Notamacropus eugenii: one gene and its partner. The protein of the gene in region 2 purifies or fractionates together with the protein of the main gene of each other region. This does not show direct contact. Links are inferred from orthologs where the notes say so. Each region holds a gene or a part of one and is shown on either strand. Other genes may lie near its edges.

Region 1 (8,296 bases), on a different chromosome or scaffold from region 2:
CACTGGAGCTTTGGGGATAGTTGAGATCACCAGGGGAGAGAGTAGAGAGAAGAGAAAAGGTCTGAGAATAGAAACTTGGAGAACACCCATATTTAAGGAAGAGAGAGATGATGAGCTGATGAAATTGTCAGGGGAAAGGCACTGCCAGGTAAATGGGAGAACCATAGGAATACCAAGTCATGGAAACCAAGGGAGAAAAACACATCAAGAAGAGAGGAAAAAGGAAGTTAAAAACAAAAGGAGATGGAGGTCAAGAGTGCTTTTTGTAGACATGGGGAACTATGGGTGTGGAATATTATATATAATTTCAGTCTTTTTAGATATTGGCTAATTTTACTGAACTCCCCCCTTTTTATTCTTTATTAAAATGGCTCTTTGAGAGGGGAATACAGCCAAGAGAGGGACCATGCCTATTAGTTACCTATAATCACCCACCTCTCTATTGAGACATTAGGAAATGTAGGTGATGCCAAACTATAGAAACAATTTTTTTTAAGAAGGAGACTATGTTAATTACTGTAGAGAGTTCAGAGAAGATGGGGACAGGGTCAAGTTTGATGGAGAGGGACACTATTCGATTTAGTACCAAGGAAGTCATTAATTACCTTGAACAGTAAACTTTCTTCCATCAGTGAAGACAGAGGTGCCTATCAAGTATTGAAGAGGGAGTATGGGATCAGGAAACTGAGGAAATCAATTAGGCTACAGCTTCTAGAAGTGTGGTAGAAAAGGGAAGGAGCGACATATAGCACAATAGCCTGAGGAAGTGGTAGGGTCCAGGGTAAGGTTCAGTGATTGGAGATTTGTCTTTGTTTATGTGTTCTTGTTTTGTATTTGATTTTAGAATAAGGAAGAACTAAGAATTCTTGTAGAATGAGGGGAAGGAGCCATGGTGAAAGATACTAAACAGAGTAGAGCCTCTATTAGATCTCAGGCCATTTTGGGGAAGGAAGAAAATTTAGAATTCAAAATCTTATGGAAATAAATGTTGAAAACTAAAAATAAATAAATTTATAAAAAAGAAAGAAAGATACTGAAGCAAGAGAAGGATGACTGATGGAGCACAGACCTGCAGCAGACAGGAGATGGAATCTAAGGCAGGGGAAGGGATTTAGTTTTTTTCTTTCAAGAAGGAAAGCCACCTTATCCTCTAGGATGGGGAAAGCAGAAGAGGATAGCATTGAAAGATTCAGAGGAGGGAAAGATGGGAATTGGAGTAGTCCATGTAGGATGGCCTCAATTTTCTCATTAAAGTGGCTAGCAAAGATACTGCTCAGAGTGAGAACAGAGTAAAACTGGAGTCTGAGATGAGAAGTTTGGAATGACTGCTGTGGAGAGAATGACGAGGATTTTATAAACAATGAATAAAAGCTTTGCCACGCAGGAGTGAGAGCCTAACTGAGAGAAGAGACTCAAATTCCTAATGGACCTGTCAGCATGATTTAGTGACTTCCTCCAGCAGTACTTAGCTGGAACCACGTGGGACTAGAGGTTAGCAGTATCTAGAAACTGCAGAATAGGAAGAAGACAAATTCAAGGAAAGAGGACAAGGAATTATTGAAGTGGCTGGCCATAAGATCAAGGCTGGGGAGGAGAGGGAGTTGAGGCCAGAGCAGGATTGATGGGGAGAACAGGGAGAATTATTAGAGTGAAGAATAGATGTGGGAGAAGTAAAGGCTAGAGGGAGGTGGGAGGACAGGACAGGTAAATGACATCCCTTCAGTGACAAGGGGGACAAGTGAGAAAGTGTGGCTGGTTCTGGACAAGTCCTCATCAGTCCTGGTGGGACAACTCAACTTGCAGGTGCATGTGGGCAGTTAGAGCGGAGGTAAGGGCTAGGGCTTTGTTTGAGATCATGTCCCTCTTTTCCTATTAAGAACCCATTATACTTCATTCACATAGACAGTGAACTGAATATAAATCTGGGTAAAATCCTATCTTCCCCTCACCAAAATGGCTAGAGAATTTTATCATACAGAGACTCAGAAGAAATATACTCTAACCTGTCCCTGAAGCATAAATTCCCCTCTACAGTAGCCTGATGAGTGGTCATCCAGTATATTACTTGAACACCTCCAGTGAGGGGAACCTCATTCATTTAGTTTTCTTCCTTCTTAATTCTGTAGCTTAGTCCCTGAAAAAATGGCTTATCTTGGAACCATACGGTCCTTTACTCCTGAAGACAGCAAAATGCAATGTTTGGCCAGAGCCCCCCAGAGCCCTTTGAGGGCTCATAGGATCCAAGAATGTTCTAGAACACTTACCCAATTAGGTCATCCTTTCTTTTTTTGACTTGTTATACCTCCAGTTAGAGTTTACTCTGGGAAACCTCTAAAAATAGGTTAGGTATAGCTTGTGTCTAATTTCCCCAAATGTGGCTGGGGGTCCCCAAGGATGAACATTCAAGGCAATAAATGAATATGAGCTAGGAAAATCTTTATTTCACTCCACAAAAAAAAAAAAAAAGAAAACAACCAAAGGACTCACAGGAATCTATGGACACTCCCACAAAACACTCATCACAGAGCACTTTTATTTCTTGTAGGATACCCTTATTGATCGATATTGATTATATTTTTTATTTTAAATAACTTTTATTTGTGCCTTCTAAAAACACCAGTTTCTATCTCCTCTATTTATTCTTGGTTCAATCTGACTGCCTTCCTCATCTTTGTTTTCTTTGCCATTTCTGTATTTTCTATCAGCACCTCAGGGACTGTGATGTTAGGACTCCAGTATGGTGGGTCTACTAACCGCAATGGAGGAAACAGTTTATGGTGGTTTTTAGCAAATTGTTTCCACTTTTCTTCTGTTTGCACTTGTCTTTCTATTCTCAAATGATATCTTGGCAAGAGTTCTTTAAACTGAACTTACCCTCTAGTACTTTGGATTGACAAGAGTGGCAGAGGATAGGTAGGCATGAGTGAGCTGGGATTTGCCTTGCTAGAGGGGACTCCTGAACTGAGATCACAGATATATTTGAATATTCATTTACCAGTATGTCACTCTTTCCCTTCCCCAGTCTTTCCTTATAATAAAGCTGAACATGAGCAAACCCCAACTAACAAAGGACTACGGAGTGAAGGAATGTATGCTTCCTTTTCTTCTATGAGACTGAGACCGATTTCAGTTTCTCTGAGTTTTGTAGCATTTTAGTTACTTTCACTGGTATCAAGTCAGTCAGTGAGTATATTTCCTAGTTCAGCATCAGTTTATATGAGTCCATACTCAAACACTTGAATGGACTTGAGATCTCATTGACTTGGATATTCTCCCAATGCAGATCATTAACTACCCACGGCTGCCCATGCCCTTGACTCTGGTCTAGGCTCATTCACCATAGTGGGGCTGCCCATGGTTCTTGGATTCTTCCTGGCTTTCTCCTGACATTGTGAGAATACCAATGGAACACCAGTGCCATTCACTTTTATTCCTCACATAACTCTTTTCTCTCACATATCCATTCCCTTGATGATATCCTTCAGTACTGTTCTTTGTTATATATTGAAGCTTGCTCACATTCATTAAGCGTCTTTCCACCGTCCTCTTCAAAATACTAATTTTCAGACTCATGTGGGGCACAGTCTGGTATTCTCAGCTGAGGGAAGCTGAGGCTGGTGGATTGTTTGAGCCTGGGAGTTTTGAGCTGCAGTAGCACGAAGGTCACTTGGATGTCTACATGAAATTTGGCACCAGTATAGAGTGAGCCCCCAGGAGAGAGTGGCCACTAAGCTGGTAAGCTGCCAATCTGCCTAAGGAGGGCTGAACCAGAAATAGAGTCAAAGCTTCCTTGTCCATAAGAAGTGGGACTGGGACTGTGAATGAGTGACAGCTGCCCTTTCAGTCTGGGTGAGATGGCATGTCTCAAAACAAGCAAACTTATTTTCAATTATAAGGAGTCATGTTTTTATGTCTCTCAGCCAAATATCATCACACGTAATTAAAACCAGGTCCACTGACTCCAAGTACAATGTTCTTTTCACAACACCATGTTCTATCTTGGTGTGACCTGGGCAAGCCATTTAACATCCCTGGGCCTCAGTTCTCTCTGTGAAATTAGGACATTACCCTGGATGATGCCAAGGTGCCTTTTGGGTATAGATCCTATGAACTCTGCCCAGCTTTTGCACTAGAAGGTGGGGAAGATCCACTGTCCTCAGCCATCTCAGATTTACCATAACTGAGGTGATGAAAGAAATTTATTGGAGTAATGAATTCCATGCATGTCCTACCTACTGTATAAAGAAATCCAAAGAATCCAGGTTGGAAAGGACCTCAGAGCGCATCTCCTCCAGTCTGCACCTAAACAACAATGCTCTCTCCATGGCATCGCCTCTGAGAGGGTCACTTGAGTTCAGGGCTTGGTGCCAAGCTGTCTTGGTGCCATCCGTCTCATCAGCGTTTGCCATTTCAGCTTTATCTGGATGGTCAGGCTGAGGGAGCTTTTAATTGGTCAAGGAGTTAGGGGTGGGGTAGGAGAGGAAGGTGGTACCCTCTCCTCCCCTTCAGGGATCATCCGAAGGGGAAGTGTTGAGCCCAAGGGTGGAGCCTGAGCTGTGAGGGGTGGGGTGTGGAGAGGTGGAGGGCGGGGCTTGTGTGAGGGAGTGGGAATGGGGCAGGCAGCGGGAGCACCCCTTCACGTTCTCCTGCACCTGCAGTCCAGTCCTCCTTCCCTATCCAACCAAGTGATGAGGAGGTGTAGGGGTAGAGGAAAGAATATTGAAAGAAAAGACAGGGAACCGGGTTCTAATTCTGATTCTGCCACTAACTTGCTGAGTGACCTTGGGCAAGTCTTTCCCACGTCTGTGCCACGGTCTTCTGCAAAAGGAGGCGGCTTTCTCCCCTCCCCCCCCCCAAAGGACCCCTTAGAGATGATCCCTACAGCTCTATCAGTCTGTGGATCAGTCTGGACCCAACTCCCCGCTAAGGCGCCCCCAGCCCCAGCGGCCCCTCCTCCACAGTCGCCACCCAGCCGGGGCAGGCAGCTCCGGGGCAGGGCCGGCTGACCAGTCCAGGGCCGCTTCTCTCCGCCCCCTGGGCCCAAGGCCAAAGCTGAGCCAAGTGGGCGCGCCGCGGGGGGAGGGAGCACGGAGGGATCCGGTGTCTTGGGCTGCAAGCTGGTGTTGCAGCTGGCGGCGAGGCGAGGCACTGGCCGGGATATTAATAACCCGGGGCTGCAGCTTTCCATGAGACCCTCCCAGCCATGGCCAGCGCGGAGGAGCCCCGGGAGGGCGGCCCCTGCGGGGAAGGAGCCGCAGCCGCTGGGCTGGAGAGGTAGGACTGCCCGGTGGGGAGGGCTGGGGCTCGGGAAGCGGCCTTCCTCCACCTGCTGGTTTCCTCCAAACTTCCCGTTCCTTCGCCCCTTCTCCACATTCCCCCCTCCCACGCCACCCCGAGGGCCTCCCCCGATCCGTTAGGTGTCAGGCCCCGCCCAGAACGTGGGGATGTGCAGAGCCGGGCTGCGGGGCTCCCCAGCGCCTGGCCCCGGGGTGGGGACCGGGAAATCCCGAAAACTCAACTAAGGGCAGCGGCGCCCAGCCCAGCCCAGCCCGGGCGTCTGGGTGCGGGTGCGTATTCGCAGAACTGATTGGTGTTATTCTGGGGGACCTTCCCCCCAAAAGGGAGTCAGTCCTTTCTGATGGGCATGAATCATCAAACACAGTGAAGGCAGGAATGCCAAATACCCGGTCTCCTATTGTGTTCTAGGGTCTTTCCTTTCCCGCCCCCCACCCCCACCCCCATCTTGCCTAAGACAAAGTAGGGAGGCCAGAGCCCCGAGTTACCGAGGGTTTTCGCTCTGTTCTCCTGCACCTGGCCTCTTGGTTCCTGGCCAGCGTTAAAGCAGTGTGTGTCGGGGGGTGGGGGGATGGCACAGCTTGTTGCTTCTTCACTCAGCTTGTTGCTTTTGGGGCCCAACGATGTTTGGGAAAACACAGAGGAGAGAGCCTAGGCTCTACCTGTGGAAAGCGAGCTTCAGAGGGCGGGTTTTAACTGCTCCCTTCTCCGCCCTCTTGTCAGCTAACCAGAGCCCCAGGAGGGCATGGCCCTGAGGTGAGGCTTGAGTGATTGAGTGGCCTCAGTCTCCCAGGGGCTGAAAGATGAAATTGTCCACACACACACACACACACACACACACACACACACACACACACACACACACACACACTCCGAAGGTACAAAATCCCTTAAGGATTAGGCAGGGAAGAGGGAGGCTCCCTGAGACCCAAATGAATCCCGAGGTCATAGGCCTTATAGTCCCAGCTAAATTCTTCCCCATCTACCAGAAGCCTCCCATAATCCTGCCCCTCCTCCAATGCTGGACTTGCTTCTTTAGGGAGAGGAGCTGCTGTGTAAAAAGCTTTTCTGGACCCTCAGTTTATACAAGAAGCCAAGTCCCTAAAGGATTCATCCATCTTTCAGATACCCCTGCCAAATGACAGGACACTGAATTAAAGAGTTGGAAGCTAACAGAGTCATCTCTCAATTATCTACACTAATGACAAGGGGTAGGATCCTTGGGCACATGGATATTCCAAACCGCAGATAATCCACAAGCCTTTCATGAGCTAAATGGAATGAATCAGTAAGATGTGGTAGACAGCAAATTCATGAGCCAGGAAGCCCAGCCTCTGACACATTTTGTCTGTGTGATCCTGGGATCCTGTGATCCCTTAACTTCTCAGTGCTCTAGCCTAGACAACTGGCTAAGGCTCTAAAATGCAGCGAAGGTGCTGTTCCTTCTACCAGTGACATCAGAGGCCTCTGCCTTACCTTTCCAATTTTTTGTTGTTGAGTCATTTCAATCATGTCCAACTCTCATGACCCCATCTGATGTTTTCTTAGCAAAGATATGGAAGTGGTTTGTCATTTCCTTCTCCAGCTCCTTTTACAGATAAGGAAACTGAGGTAAACAGAGTAATGTGACTTTCCTAGGGTCACACAGCTAGTAAGTGTCTGAGGCTAGATTGGAACTCAGGAAGAAGAGTCTTCCTGACTCCAGGTCCAGCAGTCTATCCACTGTGCCAGCATTTCCCCCTTCAATTCAGCATTTATCAAGGGCCCACTCTGCAAAGTAGTTTATCTTGAGGTGGGAAATGAAACATTGAAATCAGTTTTAATGATCTCATAGCTGAGCAGGGAAGCTGGGGGGTGGGAGGACTGAGTGAGGAGAACCAGCTTGACATAAAGATGTAACTCAGTCAGCCCACAACATGGATCATTGAAATTCATATCGTTGGAAGGCACAAATGTTTGAAAGAGGAATGAGTTTTTTTCTTCTAAGATCTGCTCCTTCCTCAACTGCTTCAAGAGTAAACAAGGCAATTCCAAAATATATTCTGTGTCCAGACAACTTTTTCTAAAGTTGCAGTGGCCCATTCAGTAACTGGGGCAAGGATAAGAGGGAACCAGCAGACCTGGGTTCCAGTTCAGACTCTATTTACCAGTTGTATGACTAATCAAATCCTTTCTCTTTCCTCGACTTCTTCATCTACAAAATGAAGGGTTGGTTCCTCCCAATTCTAAGGTTCTAGAAAGCTGCTGGATTCTCCTGCACAGATATAGCTGAACAACCTGTTGGGGTCTCCCCTTCAAGGCTTCCTCAGGGGCTGACAAAGGGCAGAGAAAGGGGTGCATGGGAGTCACACAGAAGGATTTAGGCCACAATGGTAAGAAATAAGAAGGGCCTCTACCAGGAATTTGGAGTGTAAATGGTGAGGACTTACATCCTAGTCACAAATCTTGAATTTCTCTTTCCAAGACAGAGGTGTTATGGCACAGTGGGCAGAGCAGTGACTTTGGAGGTATAAGATCTGAACCTAAATCCCAGTTATTCCACTTACTGTGTAACCTCAAGCAAATCATTCTCCCTCTCTGAGCCTCAGTTTCCTAATTTGGAAAACTAGAGCATGGATTAAGTTCCATTGAGTTCATAACATTCTATGAAATACTTTGCTTGTGGGCATGACCATTTAGATTCATTTTTTTAGATTAATTAGATTCATGACCATTTAGTTCATTTAGATCTTAAAAGAGTCTTTAGAAAGAAAATATATCCTGTATCTTCTTGTCATCTCTTTGTGGCCAGTGTACCCAGATCACACTGGCTGTCAGTTTCCCTGGTGATTGCTGTACTTTCAGGAAATCACTTTAAGAAGTGAAGGGGAAGGGGGAGGGGGGGGGAGAGACAGAGAGAGAGAGAGAGACAGAGAGAGAGAGAGAGAGAGAGAGAGAGAGAGGGAAGGAGGAAGGGAAGGAGGGAGGGAGAGAGGGAAAGAGGGAGAGAGACAGAGAGAGT
Region 2 (7,976 bases):
TCTGAAAATATCTCTCTGCCACTGCTGTATCTATTACCACATGAGCCTTCCTATGACTAAAAACAGTTCAGTGAAATCAAACAACACATTGATCATACCTGAAAGTTTATACAACATCTCACATCCACTGTCCTTCACTTCTTCTAAAGGAGAAGATACATTCTCATCTCTTCACTGGAGCAAAACTTATTACAATTTCACACTGCTCATGTTCATTTTACTGTTCTTTCAATCCACCCTGAAGGCTTGAAGCTCAGGACTTGAGCTTCTTGAAGTCAGAAAATATGTTGTTTTGGCTTTTTTATCCCTACTGTTATCACATCTCCTAGCACATACTAGGCACTTAATAAATGCTTGCTGAATGATTGACACATGGTTTTCTGGTTCTACTTATATCGATCTGTCAGGTCATATGCCTTGCCATGTTTCTATGAATTCCTCATATTTTTAATTTCTAATGGCACAATGATATTCCATTATATCATTTGTCACCACTTTCTTAGTCACTAGTCAAATGAATGATGAGATCCCAAAGTATTTCTAGTTATTTGCTTCTATAAAACTTTAAAATTCTGTGATTCTGTGACAAACACTGCTATAAATATTTTTGTATATATGGAACTAATGTGTTCTCAAAGGGTGAGTTAATGCACATCTAGAAAAGGGAGAAGTTATCACAAAGAATCAGCATGGTTTCATCAAGAATGGGTCATACCAGACTACTTCTATTTTCCTTCTTTTTGTGACAGCGTTACTTGATGAGTAGATCAGCTGTAGATGAAGTTTTATGTTCTTCAGCTGAGGAATAGATGTTACCTCCAAATTTATCCTATATCTATCTTGTTTGATTTATATGTTTCTTCCCCATTAGACTCTGAGTTGCTTAAGGGTAGGTACTATTTTCTTTTTGGTCTTTCTTTGTATTCCTAGTACTTGGAGTTGTCCCTGGAATAAATGCTAGTTGACTGGTGTTACAGTCAGATGGATTAAAAACTGGTTGAATGGCCAAGCTTAAATGAGTTAAAGATTTTATATCAAAACTAATGGAGGGCCTAAGGAATCTGTACTTGGACCCAGAGATTGTTTGACATTTTTTGTCAATGATTTGGACAAATACACAGATGGCAGGCATACCAAAATTCCAGATGACAAAAAGCTTGGAGAAAAAGCTAACAAGTTGAATGACTAAGTCAGGATCCAAAAGATCTGGACTGACCAGAATATTAGGCTGAGTCTAATAAGATGGGATTTAAAAGCCCTAAGTAGATAGGCTTACACTTCTCTTGAAAATGTTAGCTTCATGAATTCAAGACAATGAACATGTGGCTAGTCAATGATTTGTAGGAAAAAAAATCTGGGGGATTTAGTGGACCACAAGCTACAAATGAGTCAACAGTCTGAAATTTGAATATTTCGATGACTTTTGTGATTTCACTAATATGGGCATTCTCCTATGGAGCACAAGGCAACCCGTTCAAATTCTAAGAACTGATTGAACATTTAATATACTATTTTCTGTCTTCAATTATTTTGATTAATTATGATCCAATCAAATTCAAAGCAAAAGGAATACCAAACACTTATTAGCTGTCTTCAGTGAGTAGAACACCATGCTAGGCACCAGAAGTACACAGTTTAGATAAGAGTAGTACCAACCCTACATCTCTCAGTCTTATAAATTGCTTTGCTTTCTATCATTTCAAAGCTTGTTTCTTTCTCTTCATTAGTACATGAAATAACATTTGAATGCTTTCTGAAGAGGCTTACACAGTAATCTCCCCCAAAAATGTAAGAATGAAGTCAGTAGTTTCCTTGTCATCAAGAAAATTAGATAGAACATAGGATTAGTTCTTGCATTTAAGGCAAGATACATCCATTACATACATCCATCTTAGATACATCCATTTTTACTATATTTAATAAATCAGCAATATTTGTTAGGTGCCCACTGTGTGCTAAACATTCTACTGGACACTGTATTTATTGCTTCAGAATTAATTCAACACTTGCTAAAGCCTGCCAGGCTCTTGAAATAAATGCATAAAAGTGTTTCTCACAGTAATCGCGTCAAACTTTAAGGTGATTTCTGATGGAATAAAGGAAAGTGTGCCTAGTGGACTGGGAATATTTGGTATGGAGGGGGGGAAAGCTTATTGAAGACATGATAACCAATTTCTAATATTTGAAGGGTTGCCACATGGTGGAATGCTTAGATTTGTTCTCTTTGTACCCTGGGAGCAGAGGTAGGAAAAATGAGTGGAAGGTATAAAGAGGCAAAGATGTCCTTGATGTAAGAAAAGCTTTCCCAAAATTAGAGCAATGCTAAAGTGAAATGTGCTGCTTGCAGAGGTCATAGAATAATAGGTTTAGAGATGGTCTTTCAAAGTCATCTAGTCCAACTTTCTCACTTTACAGCTGAGGAAACTGAGGTTCAGGGAGACATGACTGCCCAAGGACACATAGATAGTAAGCAACAGGTATTGGCTTCTCCAGTTCCAGAGGGTTTAAAATGGATGGGGGAATCAGCACTTGTTAGATCCTGTAGACAGCGATCTTGTCCAGATATGGACTGGATGGTAGTTTCTGGGGTCCTTTGTAATTGTGGTTCTGTAATTTGCCAGAAAGTCCACAGAATAAGAGCGGTACTAGGACATGCCAAACATGTTGTCAAAACAAATGTTGAAAAAAATCACAGCTAATTGAAGAGAAGTGGTGAAAAGAAGGATACTGGTAACATAAAGAATGCAAGCTGGACTTTCTCGACCTTTTTAAAAATAATACTGTCAAACCTCACCAAAATCTCTTTTCGGTTTATTCAGAGGTTTATCTTCTGCCAATGAGTCAGTCAATAAGCATTCACAGAGTTCCCAGGAGGTACAGAACACTAAACTTGGCTGAACAGTTTTTTAAATATAGAATGTTAGTTTCTTCTATACGGTGGACAGAGCCTTTACCCCCTTTTCTTCCCTTATGGGGTGATAGATAGGCTTTCTTATTCTAAGGGTTCCAGGCAACCTCACAATGGACTTACATTTCCTAAGCAGCAGTTAAAATAAAGACCTCTCAGAAAACAGGATGGTAACATGGAACACAGGCTGCTCTGCCAGTACAGTGAGCCCCAGGAATGTTCTTTTCGTGTGACCCTCGCCTCCCAGGGAAAGCATGAATAAAGAAAGCCACAGTGCAAGATTTGTGCTTCAAATGCTCTCACAGCTCAACCTTGTCAGCTCCATTTGCCCAATTTAACTGAAATGAGGAAAACAAACTACAGTCTTGACTGAAAGAGGCTTGTAGAAAGAGACCCATAATAAACTTCTTTATTTAACTCTGAACTACATTCCTTAAATACAGGTAACTTTCAGCATCCAAAGGGAAAAAGAAAACAGGATCCTACTTTTTTTCCTCTCTGTATCCCTAGGAGCGTCAAGATGCATTTATTTTTGTAGTAGTCCTTTAGTTAATGCTTTCAAGGGTTTAAAGTTTTACGATTTAAAATTCAAGGGATTAAAATCATTCTAAAACTAGGATAATTGTAGCTTCTAAGCTGTTACTTCATGCCTATCGTCCCCACTGTTCAACACTGTTCTAACCTCACTAGATAGTTAATGGCAAAATGTTTGAGTTCTGTCTTATTAATCTCTAACATCACATTGAGCTTCTTATCATTTACCTAGTACTGGTACATGACAGGACCTCTGGTTTCCTGGATCAGGGTCCTTGGCTCCTATGTTAATTCCATGACTCCCTCTCACCCCCCAACCCATCTCACAGCCAAGGAGCAGAAGAACCTGCAATATTCTACGATTGCTCATAAGCCGGTATCATTTCTCCATATCGGTGGCACTTTTAAAATGAGAAGCTGTAATGTTTTGTACTACTCGCAATACAAACTTTACGTTCTTGCAAACATCCCTATTTCATCATTTGTGGTATAATTGCTTCCCATTTAAAATAATTCATTAGTTAAATCTGGTCTTAAGGGTTAGCACTTCATTAATCTTTTAATGGAGCTATATTTATACCTCCGAAATAGTTTCTGGATATTACTACAAAATGAGAAAATCAGTCAATTCAATTTGCTTTTGAAAGGCTTGTTTCAAAACATGGCTTTTTTGGAAGGGAAGGTTAACTTTATATGGTTTCCTTCTTACATAAAACTTTCTGATCATTTAAAAGATTTACTTCATGGAAGGAGAACGGCCCAAACACAGGCTTGAAACGTGGACACTTTGAAGATTCTCCCCTTCCGTATACCTAGAGGGGATGGGTGGATACCCCCTAACTCAGGCTCTTCAGACGCACAAATCGACAGAAATGTCCTCCTAGTAAGAATGGAGCCACACCCCTTCATCCTGGAGCGAAGCCCTCTTCAGGATAGAAGAGTGAGAAGCAGTACCCAGGCAGGAGGGGGCCCTTTTAAGGGGGGGCACATAGACATCGTCTGCTACAGCTCAGAGTAGTTGCTTGTCTCTAAGTTGGGTAGAAAATGAGCGCATCCAGACCGGAGGAGAGAGTTTATCTAACGGTTTCTGAAGCTGAGCGTTGGAGACGAGCCTCTCCAAGCAACCACGGCCCAGTGATTCATCTCCAGTGATTCACGGTCCCTTCCCCCCTCCTCCCCCTCCGCATTCCTTCCATCCTGCTCTACCGCCTCCCCTCCCTCGGACTCCAGACCGTCCGATTCCGGACAAAACCCGCAGGGTCCCTAGACACCGAGGACGGCCCAGCAGGATAAATGAATTCGCAGAAATGGGCCCATCCCTCTTCTTCCGCTTGGCACAAAGGGGAAGTAACAATGCCTGAACAACTTCATTTTCTCGAGTGCACGCCCCCTTCTCCCTCCTCCCAAATCTCAGGCTCTTTCTTTCTCGCTGCCTCCTTCCCTTATGGCCGAGAAATCACTCTCCCCCCGCCTTTCCTCCCCCTTGGCCAGGGTCTCGCCACTCTGGTCCTTCCTGGCAGAGTCCCTCTGGCTCCTCGGGCCTCCCTTTCGCCCTTTTGGCTGGAAACCAAGGTGCCCCTCCCACCCCCTCCTACTACGCCTCTTTGGAAGAGTCTCCTAGACCTCTCTCCTCCTTTTCCAATGTCGCGTTCTGAGTGGGTCCCCCAACTTCCTCTAAGCTTTCTCCTACTTTGTCAATGTGCCCAAAGGTGAGAATCACCCCCCTCCTGCGGGGGATAATCAGCAGGATTCCGAGCCCAGCCCCAAAAGTAACGGGATGGGGCTTTCCGCCCAGTTTGGGGGAGACGGGGGAGGGCTAAGGGCGGCACCTCCGCCCACCCTGACCCCACCCCTGAACACCCTCTCCCCGTACCCTCCCTACTCTGTCCTTTCTCCCTGGGTCCCCATTGGCTGGCGAGTAGCCGGGGATTGGCCAACGGCGGGGGCCCCCTCCGCCGATATAAGAGTCGCCCACGAAGCGGGGTCCCGCTCTCTGCCTCTCCAGTCTCTCGGCTCTTGTCGCCTTAGCTGCAGCCAGCGCCGCCGCCACCGCCACCGCCCCTCTCTCTTCGCGGGTCGCGCTCCACGCAGCAGCCCTCCAGCCATGTCCACCCGGTCCGTATCCTCCTCCTCATACCGCAGGATGTTCGGCGGCAGCAGCGCCGGCGGCCGGCCCAGCTCCAGCCGCAGCTACGTGACCTCGACCACCCGCTACAGCCTGGGCAGCGCCATCCGGCCGAGCAGCACCCGCAGCGTGTACTCGTCCTCCCCAGGTGGCGTGTACGCTACACGCTCGTCGGCCGTGCGCCTGAGGAGCAGCGCCCCGATCCCGGGAGTGAGGCTGCTGCAGGACTCGGTGGACTTCTCTCTGGCCGATGCCATCAACACCGAGTTCAGGAACACCCGCACCAACGAGAAGGTGGAGCTGCAGGAGCTCAACGACCGCTTCGCCAACTACATCGACAAGGTGCGATTTCTGGAGCAGCAGAACAAGATCTTGCTGGCCGAGCTCGAGCAGCTCAAAGGGCAGGGCAAGTCGCGCCTGGGGGACCTGTACGAGGAGGAGATGCGGGAGCTGCGCCGGCAGGTGGACCAGCTTACCAACGACAAAGCCCGGGTGGAGGTGGAGAGGGACAACCTGGCCGAGGACATCATGCGGCTCCGCGAGAAGTAAGAGCGTGCTAGCTGGCCGGGGTCCATTGTCCCTTTCACCTAGGTGGGGAGGAGGAGGGATGCAGACTGGCGGCTCCATCCCCGGTCTGTTCTGGGGCTGCCACGCCCTTGGGCCCTGGGGTGGGGGTGGGGGGTGGGGAGGAGAGGGAGCCCGGGCTGGGGAAGGAAGAGAAGTAGGGGACTGTGGTCTGGCATCTGTGTGGAGGTCGCCCCGCCCTTCATCTCCTGCAGCTCTCCACGGCTCCCTCTCTATTCTAACCATGCACTGGCCTTAAAAAGTTGCTCGAATGTCTCCTATCTCTTAACTCTCCCCTTGTTGGAGGCGGGAAAGAGTTTCACTAACTTTTCCCCAAGTTTCCTTGCCTCTTTTCCGAAGAGCCTCGGGAAAAAAAAAAGAAAATTATGGCCAGAGGGAGGGAGGCGAGACAAAGGGCAATGACGCCACGGCCTTGGTCACCCTCACTGAGCTGCTCACTTCTCCGAGTCTCACTTCAGAGGGTCCCCAAGGTGCTGCAGCCCCCACTCCCTCAAAGGAGCCCAGGAGAAAGAGCCCAAGTTAGCGGTCTACCCTTGAAGAATTGCTTCTTTCCCCCGGGGATGGGGTGGGGTGGGGTGGTTGGGTGTGGCCTGTCCAGCCCAGTTGGCGGTTTCCCGCTTCCTCCTTGGTTGATGTGTCACTCTTTCAGGTTGCAAGAGGAGATGATGCAGAGAGAGGAAGCCGAGAGCACCTTGCAGTCTTTCAGACAGGTTTGTAGCTTTCCTTCCCCGCCACCTTTGTCCATCGGACACGCAGTTCTAAAAGTTGGTCCTTAACCCCAACTGGGCTTCGAACAGCTTCCAGTCTGTTGGCGCAGCCCTCTAGCGGCGGCCAGGTGCCAGATCCAAGCTCCCCAGGAACTGGGGGATTGGCCTGGGTGTCACCAGAGAATACAAAGGCCGGTAATATAATCCTCCTTAGCTTTTAACTTTGTTTCAAGTTTTCAAAGAACGGGACAGTCTTCATTTTTCCCTTGCGTTCTGAGACGCAGATTTGAGCAACCTCAATTTGAGTGGGATTGCTATTTGCTGCAGTCAAAGAAGTTTGACATTTTTGTATTGTTTCCAAGCCAAAAGAAGTGCAACACACAGTGGTTCAAAAAGTAAAATAAATGTTATTTTAGGAAGGACTTGCTGTGAATAAATAGAATCAAGACAGAAACTAGATGGGGGAGGGGAGGTAGAGAAAAGGGGGAGTCCTATTGTAGAGCAAACTAGATGGGGCATAAAACAAAAGGGCTCCCACACACAACTATTTTTTTATCTTAATAAGGGTGAAAAGGAGCCATCTGTCCAGCTGGCTATAGAGTATTAGTGGTTTCTATGGGATTCACTATGGAATGTAGATAGAGACTTTCTGGGAAGTGGGGTCGCCTAGAGAGAAAGAATAGGAGTCTTTGTGTTCACAGGAAAGCTTGCAACAGGCTGCATTCTTACAGAATATGTAATCACTTTTAATTGGAGACGAGTATTTTATAAGAGAAAGTTATACTTAAACCTGAGCAGCACATTAGATATGACATTAGAACTTTTCAAAGGACTTTAGTCAGAGTTGGTCCTGATAGGACCCCTCTTCTATCTTTTTGTTTGTAATTTCCTTTTCCAGAAAAGTTTTTCTTTAAAAAGGTGTTCTCATGGGTGAGGGGTAACAGAGTAGAAAGCTAAACTTGGGTTTCGAGTGGCATTTTCAAAACAGATATGTTATGCTCCAGAACTTTGAGAAATCTGAGGCTGTATGAAGAGAATGGAAAATGAAGGGGCAGCTAGGTGGCAACAGTGCTTAGAGAACCAGCCCTGGAGTCAGGACGACCTGAGTTCCAATTCA

What was found.
Region 1: the proteins of VIM (region 2) and SYNC purify together in Homo sapiens (affinity purification with mass spectrometry; 3 studies listed by BioGRID and IntAct, counting the BioPlex papers as one, with this or other methods). This does not show direct contact. The link is inferred for Notamacropus eugenii from reciprocal best matches to the Homo sapiens genes VIM and SYNC.

The regions. Positions count from the first base shown.
Region 1 is NC_092876.1:77,188,256-77,196,551, forward strand, and holds the start of SYNC (syncoilin), read left to right. Parts: upstream 1-5,059; 5' UTR 5,060-5,203; coding exon 5,204-5,274; intron 5,275-8,296.
Region 2 is NC_092874.1:57,865,672-57,873,647, forward strand, and holds the start of VIM (vimentin), read left to right. Parts: upstream 1-4,859; 5' UTR 4,860-5,219; coding exon 5,220-6,112; intron 6,113-6,801; coding exon 6,802-6,862; intron 6,863-7,976. UniProt on the Homo sapiens protein: Vimentins are class-III intermediate filaments found in various non-epithelial cells, especially mesenchymal cells. Vimentin is attached to the nucleus, endoplasmic reticulum, and mitochondria, either laterally or terminally.